Xenopus tropicalis: one gene and its partners. The protein of the gene in region 3 interacts with the protein of the main gene of each other region in a pairwise test. Links are inferred from orthologs where the notes say so. Each region holds a gene or a part of one and is shown on either strand. Other genes may lie near its edges. The genes, in order: crybb2, lbh and cryab.

Region 1 (3,652 bases), on a different chromosome or scaffold from region 3:
CCCCTGATCTGCTCTGTCCAATCCCCGCTTATGCAGCCTGCCCTGTCATGCAGGCCCTCCCCCTATGCTGCGCCCGTCTCCGGGCCTCACTTTCTTTGAAATGTATTTCCTTAGCAACTCTTTACTGCATGCCTGTATACCAGACCCTGCAGTAAGAGATAGTGTTTACACTAACATTTGTGCAACTTCCACCTGTATAATGGGTGGAACCCCAACCATGCAATAAAGAGCATATGGCACACTATCTCTTCCTTAGCATGAGTGGCTGATACACATTGCAAATTTAGAAACCAAAACAGCTGTTCTATCAGTTCTAGCACTTAGGGGCAGATTTATGGAAGTGTGGGATTAGAGCTCACTACAGAATAAGTCACCCACTTTCTATTCATTCCTATTGAGACAAAAACATATTTCTGGCTTAGAGTTTTTGTGATCCACACCTGTGAGTTTCAGGTCTCACCTCTCTTTAAGTTACAATGTGCCATTGTGATTGGTTTAGTGAAAGAGTATGTACATATGCTGAGGACTTCCCATACCAGTCAGCTGAACTGAAGAAGCTCCTCAGATAAGTAGTAAAACATCTTCAATGATTACTCAGCAAGTCCAGTTGCCAATTTCCACACTTTGTTTACTAAAAAATAATTTAAACAGTAAATAAACCCAATAGGATTGTTTTCCGCCAATAAGGATTAATTATATCTTATATCAAGTACAAGGTACTGTTTTATTACTACAGAGAAAAAGGAAATCAGTTTTAAGAATCAGAATTATTTCTTTAAAATAGAGTCTATGGGAGATGGCCTTTCCGTAATTCAGAACTTTCTGGATAGCGGCTTTCTGGATAAGGGATCCTATACCTGTCTTATATAACAAAAAGTTAAATAACTAACAAACTACAAATAATAAAAATGAAGAAAAATTGCAAATTGTCTCAGAATATTACTCTGTACATCATACTAAAAGTTAAGGATGCACCGAATCCAGGATTGGGTTCGGGGTTTGGCCAAGATTCTGCCTTTTGGCCGAATCCACGCTCCTGGCCGAACTGAATCCGAATCCTAAAAATCATATGAATTTTTCTCATATAAACACGGAAGTTAAAAATGTAACCCTTACATTACCTAATTAGTATATGCTAATTATATTATATGCTAATTAGGATTCGGTTCGGTATTCTTCAGCTAAATCTTTTCCGAAGGAGTTGGTGCATCTCTACTAAAAGTTAACTCAAAGGTGAACAACCCCTTTAAATGCTGAAGAAAATGGGCTTATTTTTCAACCTAAATTCTCAAAACCCCTCATCACTTTAAAATGAACGTGAAAGTTGTTACAGAGCAATGACACCTACAGGCCTTTTTAATTTTATGCCACATTAGTCTGAACAACACTATGCTTTTGTTTAATGGGAACCAAATGTTTCTCCTTTCCACAGCTGGGTAGGATATGATCAACAGAACTGCAAAGGAGAGCAGTTTGTCTTTGAGAAGGGAGAATACCCACGCTGGGACTCCTGGACCAACAACAGAAGGACTGACAGCATCTCTTCCATGAGACCAATCAAAAATGTAAGTGCTTAGATACTTCACAATGAACTTACTTGCCTTTAGTGTCCCCCATACTGTAACAATGTGCATTAAAAAAAAACGATGTTGCAAGCCTCTGAAGAAATCACTTTAATTCCTAAAGAAAAGCTAATATACAAATGGCAAAAGCAGCACATTTCTCATAAGGATGGCATACTGTTATGAGAACTAAACCCTAAAAACAAATATGGCTGTATGCCGTATTTTATATCCTGAACTTACTTCACCAGCCTAAAGGTTAAGCATCTCTATAACAGCAGAACATGAGGTTGGTCTGTCATAGAAGCTGATTCTACAGGGATGATTATTCAATTCAGATACATTACATATGAATTGCATTTGCATTAGAGAGCTGCTATTTAATGAGAATCTGAATTAATTACTACTCTGCCTTGTATTGTGACATTTATATTCTATATACACAGTATATTGTTTGTCCCTAAGCTCAGTAACTGACAGCAGCACAGAGCATGTTTGAAGAATCAGCAGAAAAGAAGATGGGGGGCTTCTGGGGCATCGTTGGAGACACAGATCTTCCCTGCTAAAGGGCTGTGGTTGCCTTGGGCTGGTACAGAAGCCCAAAATTTAATATGCAGCATGTCTACCTTACTTCTTTGTTAATTTTTAGCTCTCCTAAATATTATATTGCTCAACATGAGTGCAATGAATAGGGCTTGTTCTGAACATACATTATAGCTATTGTTTTAATTATGAAAAATGTGTTTTTGTTATTTAAATAAGTAATAAGTAATGAATTATTTAAGTTTTTAGAATTGTGCATAATATTTTAACCAAGTAATAACAGTCAAGGTTAATTATGGTTTTATTTAATGACTAATTTTGGAAAATATTTGAAACATTTTTTTTTAGGACAGCCAAGAGCACAAGATTGTCCTCTATGAAAACCCAAATTTTAGTGGGAAGAAAATTGAGATAATTGATGATGATGTGCCTAGTTTCCATGCTCATGGTTATCAAGAGAAAGTGTCTTCTGTTCGAGTACTAAGTGGAACGTGAGTATAGGTGAAATATGAGTATAGGTGAAATGTGTTCAGTCCCCACATGCCAAAAAGTTTCCCCAAGACACTGTGGGATTTGGCAGAGACAGTAATAAACAGAATGCATCTGTCCCTACTTGTGTACATGTGATTTCTCCAAAGTTTGCTGTTAAGCACCGGAAAGCCCTGCATGCACTGGTTAAGTCAACTAGAGAAGTTTGATCTTCCTTGCAGACTGACCAATCCATGTGTATCCAATCTATGAGCTGTGGAGAGAACAAATAAGGGAACAGGCAAAAAGCACAAATGACTAGCAATGACTGGTGCATTCAGTGCGGTAGTTTCACTTGTGCTTTTTTGCTTTAAAAGAAATTCAGGGAGTTATAATGTGTTTTTTTTTCATTATAGGTGGGTTGGCTATCAATACCCAGGTTACAGAGGTTACCAGTACCTGTTTGAGAAGGGGGACTACAAGGACAATTCTGATTTTGGTGCCAAGCACCCCCATATCCAGTCTGTGAGGCGCATACGTGATATGCAGTGGCACCAGAGAGGAGCCTTCCACCCTACCAATTAAGGGTGATGCCACTTAAAAGTGCGGGGAGGTACAGAGAGGCTTACATGCAATCTACTGCTGTTTTTCCTTTGGCATGCCTCTCTCAGATGCCACTGTGTGACTAATGCTGCTGAATCAATTTAATAAAAAGCTTTGACTTTCAGACTCACAGATTCACTTTTTGTGTCAGTTATTATGAGAAGTCACACTGGAAGGCAATATTGTCAATCTCCAAATACCTAAATACATATAATAATGAAAAAAAAATCCACAACATTCACTGTTAAAGTGTTCCTTATGTCTTACAAATGCCTCATCTTGAGACTAAAATATTGGCATGAATATACATTTACTTTCAAGGTTCCAGTTCCTCACCAACCATTGGTGCTCCAGCTGTTTCAGAATTATAGGTTGGGGAAAGCACCACTGGTATTTGTAGAATTTGTAGCCCCACAACTGCTAGAGAACATCATACTGACTAGGTAACTGTGATTCCCAGTCCTATACCCACAGCC
Region 2 (4,136 bases), on a different chromosome or scaffold from region 3:
GAATTTTAAAACCTTTTCTCTGTAATAATAAAACAGTACCTGTACTTGATCCCAACTAAGATATAATTACCCCTTATTGGGGGCAGAACAGCCCTATTGGGTTTATTTAATGGTTAAATGATTCCCTTTTCTCTGTAATAATAAAACAGTACCTGTACTTGATCCCAACTAAGATATAATTACCCCTTATTGGGGGCAGAACAGCCCTATTGGGTTTATTTAATGGTTAAATGATTCCCTTTTCTCTGTAATAATAAAACAGTACCTGTACTTGATCCCAACTAAGATATAATTACCCCTTATTGGGGCAGAACAGCCCTATTGGGTTTATTTAATGGTTAAATGATTCCCTTTTCTCTGTAATAATAAAACAGTACCTGTACTTGATCCCAACTAAGATATAATTACCCCTTATTGGGGGCAGAACAGCCCTATTGGGTTTATTTAATGGTTTAATGATTCCCTTTTCTCTGTAATAATAAAACAGTACCTGTACTTGATCCCAACTAAGATATAATTAATCCTTATTGGGGGCAAAACAATCCTATTGGGTTTAATTAATGTTTTATTGATTTTTAGTAGACTTAAGGTATGGGGATCCAAAATTACGGAAAGACCCCTTATCCGGAATAGCCTTGGTCCCGAGCATTCTGGATAATGGGTCCTATACCTGTAGTAGCTACGTGTGTCTTCACCCTAAAAGTCAACCTGCGGCTGTTTCCGAATGACACCCCCTAGCTCCCTTCAACATTCGGTGCTGTAGTTCAACAACAGCTTGAGCATCTTTAGCTTCCCTATGCCAGTCCCCACCTGGAAAGATTTAAAGGCACAGAGGATTTATATAGCAATACAAATACCTGCAACCGTCTTAGAGACGCTGCTGCAATTCATTTGGATTTAGCCACAAGGTCAAACTGATAAATCCGATCTACTAAGCAAGAATCAGACTTAATTCCTCATTAATTACCCCGGGCGCCTTATTAACCAATAAGCAGGGGGCAATAGAGCTGGGCAAGGAGCGACTATAAAGCCCCCACAGGGATTCAGACAATAGAAGCAGCAAGTTCTACAGACCAAAATGAGCCCCACAGCTCCGAGACCCTTCGCTTACACCCCAATATCTACAGTTTGGGTGGTTTTTTTTGTTTTTTTTAACTGCCGCTTGGGGGGGGGGGTTGATTTTGTGAATGAAGGCTACGGGCGGAGACTCGCCTCACTGTCGGCTTGTGAATGATTTCGCCCAATGAATGGCCGCCTCTTTAATACATAACGAGCGCTGCAAAGTCATGCACAATGCTGTCATGGAAAATGTGCGGCTCGCACCTACAGGTGGTGTTGCCAAGGGGACAGCACAACAGTAAGCTCTTGGGTACGGGAAACCAGTCCGCAGCCAGGAATAGAGAGACCGGGTATAATATAACAGCCTGGTCCCTTTAATTATATCCACAGAGCCTGTAGGGTAACAAAGGGAGAGTCGGATGGGGTTCCAGCGGCAGAGAAGGGAGGGTATAAGTCTGTCAGGGCATGCTGGGAGCTGTAGTACAAGAGCAAAAAGTTGGAGAAGCTCCAAGGGCAGAATTAAAACTCCCAGTCGAGTGTTTTTAGTTATAAGATGCCAGGCTGCCCATGGATAAGCCCAGTATGCCCCCCTCACAGGCACCTAAAGCCCAGTACGCCCCCCTCACAGGCACCTAAAGCCCAGTATGCCCCCCTCACAGGCACCTAAAGCCCAGTATGCCCCCCTCACAGGCACCTAAAGCCCAGTATGCCGCCCTCACAGGCACCTAAAGCCCAGTATGCCGCCCTCACAGGCACCTAAAGCCCAGTATGCCCCCCTCACAGGCACCTAAAGCCCAGTATGCCCCCCTCACAGGCACCTAAAGCCCAGTATGCCCCCCTCACAGGCACCTAAAGCCCAGTATGCCCCCCTCACAGGCACCTAAAGCCCAGTATGCCCCCCTCACAGGCACCTAAAGCCCAGTATGCCCCCCTCACAGGCACCTAAAGCCCAGTATGCCCCCCTCACAGGCACCTAAAGCCCAGTATGCCCCCCTCACAGGCACCTAAAGCCCAGTATGCCCCCCTCACAGGCACCTAAAGCCCAGTATGCCCCCCTCACAGGCACCTAAAGCCCAGTATGCCCCCCTCACAGGCACCTAAAGCCCAGTAGCACAAATACTGTCATCTTGGGGCAACTCTGGTCACTTGGGGGTGGAGGGGGGGGTTGTTGAAAGCCTTAATACCCCAGGAGACCAGACACCAACCAGAGTGCCCAGAGTTATCACTCACCCCATACCCCCATCTCCAGGATCTACAGCAAGAAGTGACCCCCTGGCATCTACCATCTACCACTGCGACTGGCTGCAACTAATATAGTATATGCGACCACCAGTAGCTGCAGAAGGGTCCGGGAAATCCTTCAACATTAAAAGCCCCCTCCGCCAGGGGGCAGCAGCGCCAGATTAGCCCCAGTACAAGAATCTCAGGGGAGAGGTTCCAACTGGGAGCTTATTCCCCCCTCCCGATCCAGTCCCCCCAGTAACTCACAGTCCCCCCCCCCCAGTAACTCACAGTCCCCCCCCCCCCAGTAACTCACAGTCCCCCCCCAGTAACTCACAGTCCCCCCCCCCCCAGTAACTCACAGTCCCCCCCCCAGTAACTCCCAGTATCTCCCAGTCCCCCCCCAGTAACTCCCAGTACTCACCAGTGAATGGGGTAAAATACAGACATTAAGCCCAGAGGAGCTGCCAAACTGCTCGGATTAAATGGATCCCAATAGGCTAATCGGAACCACTCGCAGAACACAACACAGTCCTGATTGGCTATTGGCACAGACAGTCCCTCTCCCGCCGCTCCGGAGCGCTCTGACCCTGCCGCTGCCGCCGCACTGCCTTATATAACATAGGGGGCGGGGCCAGCTGGCACCACGCCCAGCCCGTTTGACGTCAGTAGAAACATGAATGGGTGTATGTTGGCTGCTCATCCCCTGGATACAATGTGCTGGGTTTGTAGGCGCTGAACATTCATGCTCACTCATCCCTCCCAGCCAATCAGAGGCCGGGGATTGCAATCACCTGCATTCTCCCCCCCCCCCCCCATTCAGCCTGTCTCTTTGTTCTGTGCAGGTTTAAGCCCCACACTTGCCCTTTGTCTCCCTTATTGCCTCTCCACATTCCCTCACTTGGTCTGGCTGGGGGGGGGAGTAGATTATTCAGGGGTGCCTGGGGGGGGGCAGCACCCCTGAATAGCACCTTCATTCATGGTAAATCTGAAATAAGACTTTTTCAACAGGGGGGGGGGGTTGGTTTTGAGTAGAATGTTCCGGAGACTGGCGGATTTATCCAAAGCCTTGGAATTTGATGAGGGGGTGTGAGTGAATGCAATGGGATGTGGCAGGGAAGGGGTTAACAGCACAATCCCCCCCCCCCCGTATATATGAAACAACTGTTTTTTTTATCATGACGTCATTGATTTATGTAAATCCCCACCCCCCCCAACCTCTCTGCATGGCCAGGGGGGCCCCTGTTTCCAACTCAATCCTGGGGGTACAGAGTCCAATGCAGGAATTGGCTTTGGCTGCTGTGTCCTCTGCCCGTGACCTTGGGGGGGCGCTGCGTTATCTCCCTGTGCCTCATTCGCTCAGACTTAGAGTGTCAGCTCTTTGGCACAGAAGCTTTCTCTTATCTATCAAATGGTCCCTATGTAATTACGGGGTCACGTTGTGCATTGGGGGGGTATGATTGATAAGTATAGGGGCAACTTTGCAGAAATCTCTAACAGCCCATTGGAAATTTCTATTCATTAGCGTAATTGCGTTACTTGGGTCAATCCTGGCGCCTGATTGGTTGCTGAGTGTTCCTGCGCAAATGCAACATTCGCTCTTGTTTTAAATCGTTCCCCTGAGTAAAATCAGCCTTATACTCATTCCTTATCTGTATCAGTCGGAGGAATAGTTAACCCATAGAGTGCCAGTAAGGGCAAACACCTTAGTGTGTGGGAATATGGTACGGATCTTAGATTGTAAGCTCACTGGGGCAGGGACTGATGGGAATGGGATAGGGACCTTAGATTGTAAGCTCACTGGGGCAGGGGCTGATGGGAATGGGATAGGGACCTTAGATTGTAAGCTCACTGGG
Region 3 (4,324 bases):
TAGGAACTTCCCTAGCAGGTTATCCAAAGACCTGTATGGCCAAGAAGCAAAACTAGATCAAACTGCAGAGATTGTTGTCTAGGGGAAACATGAATTGGCTATACAGGGAGAAAGTGGTACAGGTTTGTATTGGGTGGTAAGTGTTAACAGTGGCTGGACTGGGGCAAATAGTGGACATGGTTTTACTGGGGAAACATATCTGAGATGGCTATATTGGGTAAATCGCAGAGGTGATTGGAGGTAAATAGAAATAAGAAGAAATTGCAGAAGTGATTATATGTAGGGTTAATGATAAAGCTGGTAGATCTAGCTGTAATGAGAGAAAGTTGGTTATATTATGTGAAATTAAAACAGATGGGTGTATAGGGGGAAAAGGCAGGGATGGCTGTACAGGAAAGAAATGGCACGGGTGTGTATACTGGGGGAAATATCAGAGATGACCATATTGTGGGAAAAAAATAAAATACGTGTGCTACAAAAATGTGATATATAAGGAAGTAATGGTAAATACTGATGTACTCTGGAAATTTGCAGAGCTGTCTGTAGTGGATAAAATAGCAGAGACTTGCAAATGACATGAAAAACTGAATCTGGAGAAAATGGAAACAGATAGAGCTAACCCCGCATCCTCATTTTTAACAGCTACAGTATTTTACTGAAATAAATAATAGTGGTTTAATCATTTAAAAATAAGGGATACTTTGTTAGCCATTAGATTAGCCTTAAGCCGTACCGCAACCTCACCTTTTATGTAAAGAACCTTTATCCCCCACCTTTTACTCTATAACTTTTCAAGTGGGTAACAAGATCCAAACACACTGTTTATTGTTCATTTTTAAAGCATATTTTTTCAAATAAAATTTCAAAAACATTATCTAAAAGCTGTATCTGTGGTTCTAAGTAGAACTGTGGGTGCTTAGGGAAGCTTACTTTTTTATAAGCAAAATATGATTCAGCTTTAGTTTGGTGTTTGAACAAACCAAAGAAAATTGGTGCATGCAAACTATTTGTACTTTTACTTAATGTGGTTACAGTATCAACATTTGGGAGCATCACATTTCCAAACTGAATTAGATGTAAACTTTGCAGGCGACTGGGTGTGTGTTGCTAACAGCCGTAGGTTATAACTGAAGGCACTACAGTGACTGCAATCACATTCACATCATTAATCAAAAGTCAAGCTATAACGGCCAGGAGTTTAGCTTTTAATATTGCTGTTTTAGAGCTATATTTATGAAAGTTTATAAAAAGCATATTTTTGTTTTAAAAAGTATTATTTCACTTTTGGCTTTTATTAGAAAATGTCTGATTTTTTTCCACCACTTTTTGTGAGCTGGGTGTTCCCCACTTTTTACCCTATCAGGAAATGTTAACTAAGATTTAAAGTAACTTCCATATTTGACACCAAAGGCCAGGAAGGGTGCTACAAATAGCAGGACACAGGGTCCCTGGTAAAAGGGGCTTAGTGGTGGTCATTTTATGGGCTCTTTAGGCCTCAGGTGCTTGATGGAACTCAAGGAACTCAAAACCTTCCCAGAAAGTATTAGGAGGGCTGATATTTGGTGACTTGTGGTATCAGCAAACATGTCTCAGCCCAGGAACAAAGCTGCTCTTAATCTACCACTGGGGGAAGTTTTATTTGAGTGCAGCAGAACCTTAACTACACAGAGCTGCTGCATACAGCAACACTCACAGCAATTCTAGACACTGTTAGAAACTCCATATCAACACTATTTACAGAGTTTAGTGCTTTAAAAAATGTTTTCCTATCCACCACTTTTCTTCTGTAAGAGTACAGTGTATAATTAGATAAGATGTTTCAAATGGCACAGGAATATAATCTGACCACAGAATAAATGAATATAACTGTTCTATAGTCTTTTTCTTTTCCAATATGTTTGTTTTAATTACCTAGTGCTCTGTTTAAGACATTTGTTTGAGCCAATATTATCTTAATATTCAATTGGAAATATTTGTCAAATGGTGTTACTATAATTGGTGGTAAAATGATTACTTTAACATATTACTAGCCACTCTACACACCTTTACTCTTTAAAGAAACTCAGTTAATTACATTGATTTGTTGCATTTACATTGATTAATCAGCATCCTTTGTAAATGTATCTATTTGTACTGTGAATGTAGAAAAACACAAACTTTGGATGAATATTTCCATTGAATTTACTTGCCCTTTTCCTTATAAGCATTATAAGATCTGACTGGGCAATGCAAAAAAGTTAATTGTACTCTTAAACCTCCCAGGCCTCCCTCTAGGCTCAGCATTTTGCAGGTTTAAAAAGAAAACTACCTCAGACAGTCCGCTGTCTATCCAGTTTGGAAGCCTGGAGAAGGGGTATCTGAAGAAGAAGGGTGATACACTGGAAGTTGGGAAAAGTTCAGCCTCGTGAAGGTGTTCCCCAAAATTCTGATCAAAGATCCTATTTGGTCCAAAGAATGAGTAAAAGTGACGACGGAACCAAGGATGCTGGATGGCTACATCCATTTTCTTGCTGCTTGTGGCTACTATGAAAGAAAAAGCTCAAGGTCTGAGTTAGCCAATGGACCTAGAGCTCTTATATATAATGGACTGCCAGTCAGCTCCACCCTTGCACCCAAACATTGAACCTTCTGGAAAATTGATGTCAGGTGATTTCATTATTCAACCATGCTCGTCTGCCCCCATTCAGCAGAGTGCTGTTGGATATGTGCCATGACAAATTCTCTATTCACTCTCCAGCCCACTGGATCAGCAAGAAGAGATGCTGATTATCGTTCTGTTTACTTTCCGACTTCTGTGCTTTTTGGCTCAACAGATCTATTCAGCCACTCTCCTGTAACTTGACAAGGATGATTTCATGCCCAGATCTGACAGCTGATAGTGTAATTGATTTAATCCGTAATACTCTAGAAACATCCAACCCTTTTCCAGCTTCCTACAGGGTGCGTATAGACTAGAACAACTTCATTCTTGTAATATGTAGCATTACTGGCAGAGGGGGAGTTAAATGCCTACATGGGTGTGATCATTGCTGACAAAGAAGCTAAATATACACGCAGTGTGCAATTATTATTTTATTATAATGTTATTCATATCTTTCTAGGTTAGTCATCAGGTTAAACAATTAACATGTTAAATATGTTTATGTTGTAAATCAAAACTTTTCATCACAGAGTTTGTGACACCAACTTCTGATCAGCAAATAATGTAGAAAGCTAAAAGGTCCAGTCCAAGAAACCTTCATTTTCCTCTATACTGCCATACTTTACTGCCATTACCTTTTACTATGATAAATCACTCAGTGGCTAAAGTTGATCACATATCGACAAACTTCCAGAACATCATAGATTAACCAGGCATTTGCTCTATTTGGTCGCACTTGTGGATGGCTAAATTGCATTGATCTAACTAATGGATCTGCGGGTAAGATTGTTAAACAGAAATGTGGGTTCATGTAGTTCTGGCACAGCAGGTGTCACCATTTTAGGGTATAACTGGCCACACACTGATCAGCAGGGAAATGTCACAGACTGACAATGACAAGTTTTTTTGTTTTTTTTTTAACATTTTCTTTATTGCATTTTTCAAAAATTTTGCATAGAGCAAACAAAGAGAAGGAAAGAATGAGGAAATAAGAGAAGAAGAATAGTGTAGATAGGGGGGAAAGGGGGGGGGGTGTTTTTGGGCTTCCTTACTTATCAAGTGCATTACTGACTTTGTCTTACATTTGTCCCATGGCCTTTTATTATGTTCTTAATAAAGAAGCTATTAATTAAAACTGCTGGTCCAGTGTCCGTTAATTGTGTCCATTTGTTATGTCCATGCCCCTGTTTTGGGTCCATGCTGATGTACCCTTTTATTATATCCAGTTTGTGGTGGCATTCAGGGTTGATGTATGTCTTTCAGCCAATTGTCCCATATCTTGTTAAATTTGTCTGGGCATCTCCTAGCCAGATATGTTAGCTTTTGACTGGGAAGGGTGTCGTTAATTTAAAGTTGCCTTCCAGGTCATTAAGATTGCTTTTTTGGCGAAATGTAGAATTTGGAGGAGGCATAGTTCATCGTATTTGTTAAGTGATAGTCCTTCCATGTGTCCAAGTAGGCATAAAGTTGGAGAACAGATATTTGGGACTGTGGCGCTGCAAGTCAGTACCTCTGACCAAAATCATTGGATTTCAGTGCAGTCCCAAAAAATATGCATGTAATTACCTTGCTCAATGTTGCATTTGGGGCATACATACGGATAACCCGGGTAAATTTGGCCCAGCGTGTGAGGTGTCAGGTATACTCGGTTAAGGAACTTAGTATGTATGAGTTCAGGGCGCC

Evidence for each region.
Region 1: the proteins of cryab (region 3) and crybb2 interact in a two-hybrid assay, tested with the Homo sapiens proteins (2 studies listed by BioGRID and IntAct). The link is inferred for Xenopus tropicalis from reciprocal best matches to the Homo sapiens genes CRYAB and CRYBB2.
Region 2: the proteins of cryab (region 3) and lbh interact in a two-hybrid assay, tested with the Homo sapiens proteins (2 studies listed by BioGRID, with this or other methods). The link is inferred for Xenopus tropicalis from reciprocal best matches to the Homo sapiens genes CRYAB and LBH.

What each region holds. Positions count from the first base shown.
Region 1 is NC_030677.2:147,786,452-147,790,103, forward strand, and holds the end of crybb2 (beta-crystallin B2), read left to right. Parts: intron 1-1,432; coding exon 1,433-1,565; intron 1,566-2,453; coding exon 2,454-2,596; intron 2,597-2,989; coding exon 2,990-3,158; 3' UTR 3,159-3,306; downstream 3,307-3,652. UniProt on the Homo sapiens protein: Crystallins are the dominant structural components of the vertebrate eye lens.
Region 2 is NC_030681.2:6,602,539-6,606,674, reverse strand, and holds the start of lbh (protein LBH), read right to left. Parts: upstream 2,837-4,136; 5' UTR 2,731-2,836; coding exon 2,705-2,730; intron 1-2,704. UniProt on the Homo sapiens protein: Transcriptional activator which may act in mitogen-activated protein kinase signaling pathway.
Region 3 is NC_030683.2:84,501,258-84,505,581, forward strand, and holds the start of cryab (alpha-crystallin B chain), read right to left. Parts: upstream 2,899-4,324; 5' UTR 2,504-2,898; coding exon 2,309-2,503; intron 1-2,308. UniProt on the Homo sapiens protein: May contribute to the transparency and refractive index of the lens. Has chaperone-like activity, preventing aggregation of various proteins under a wide range of stress conditions.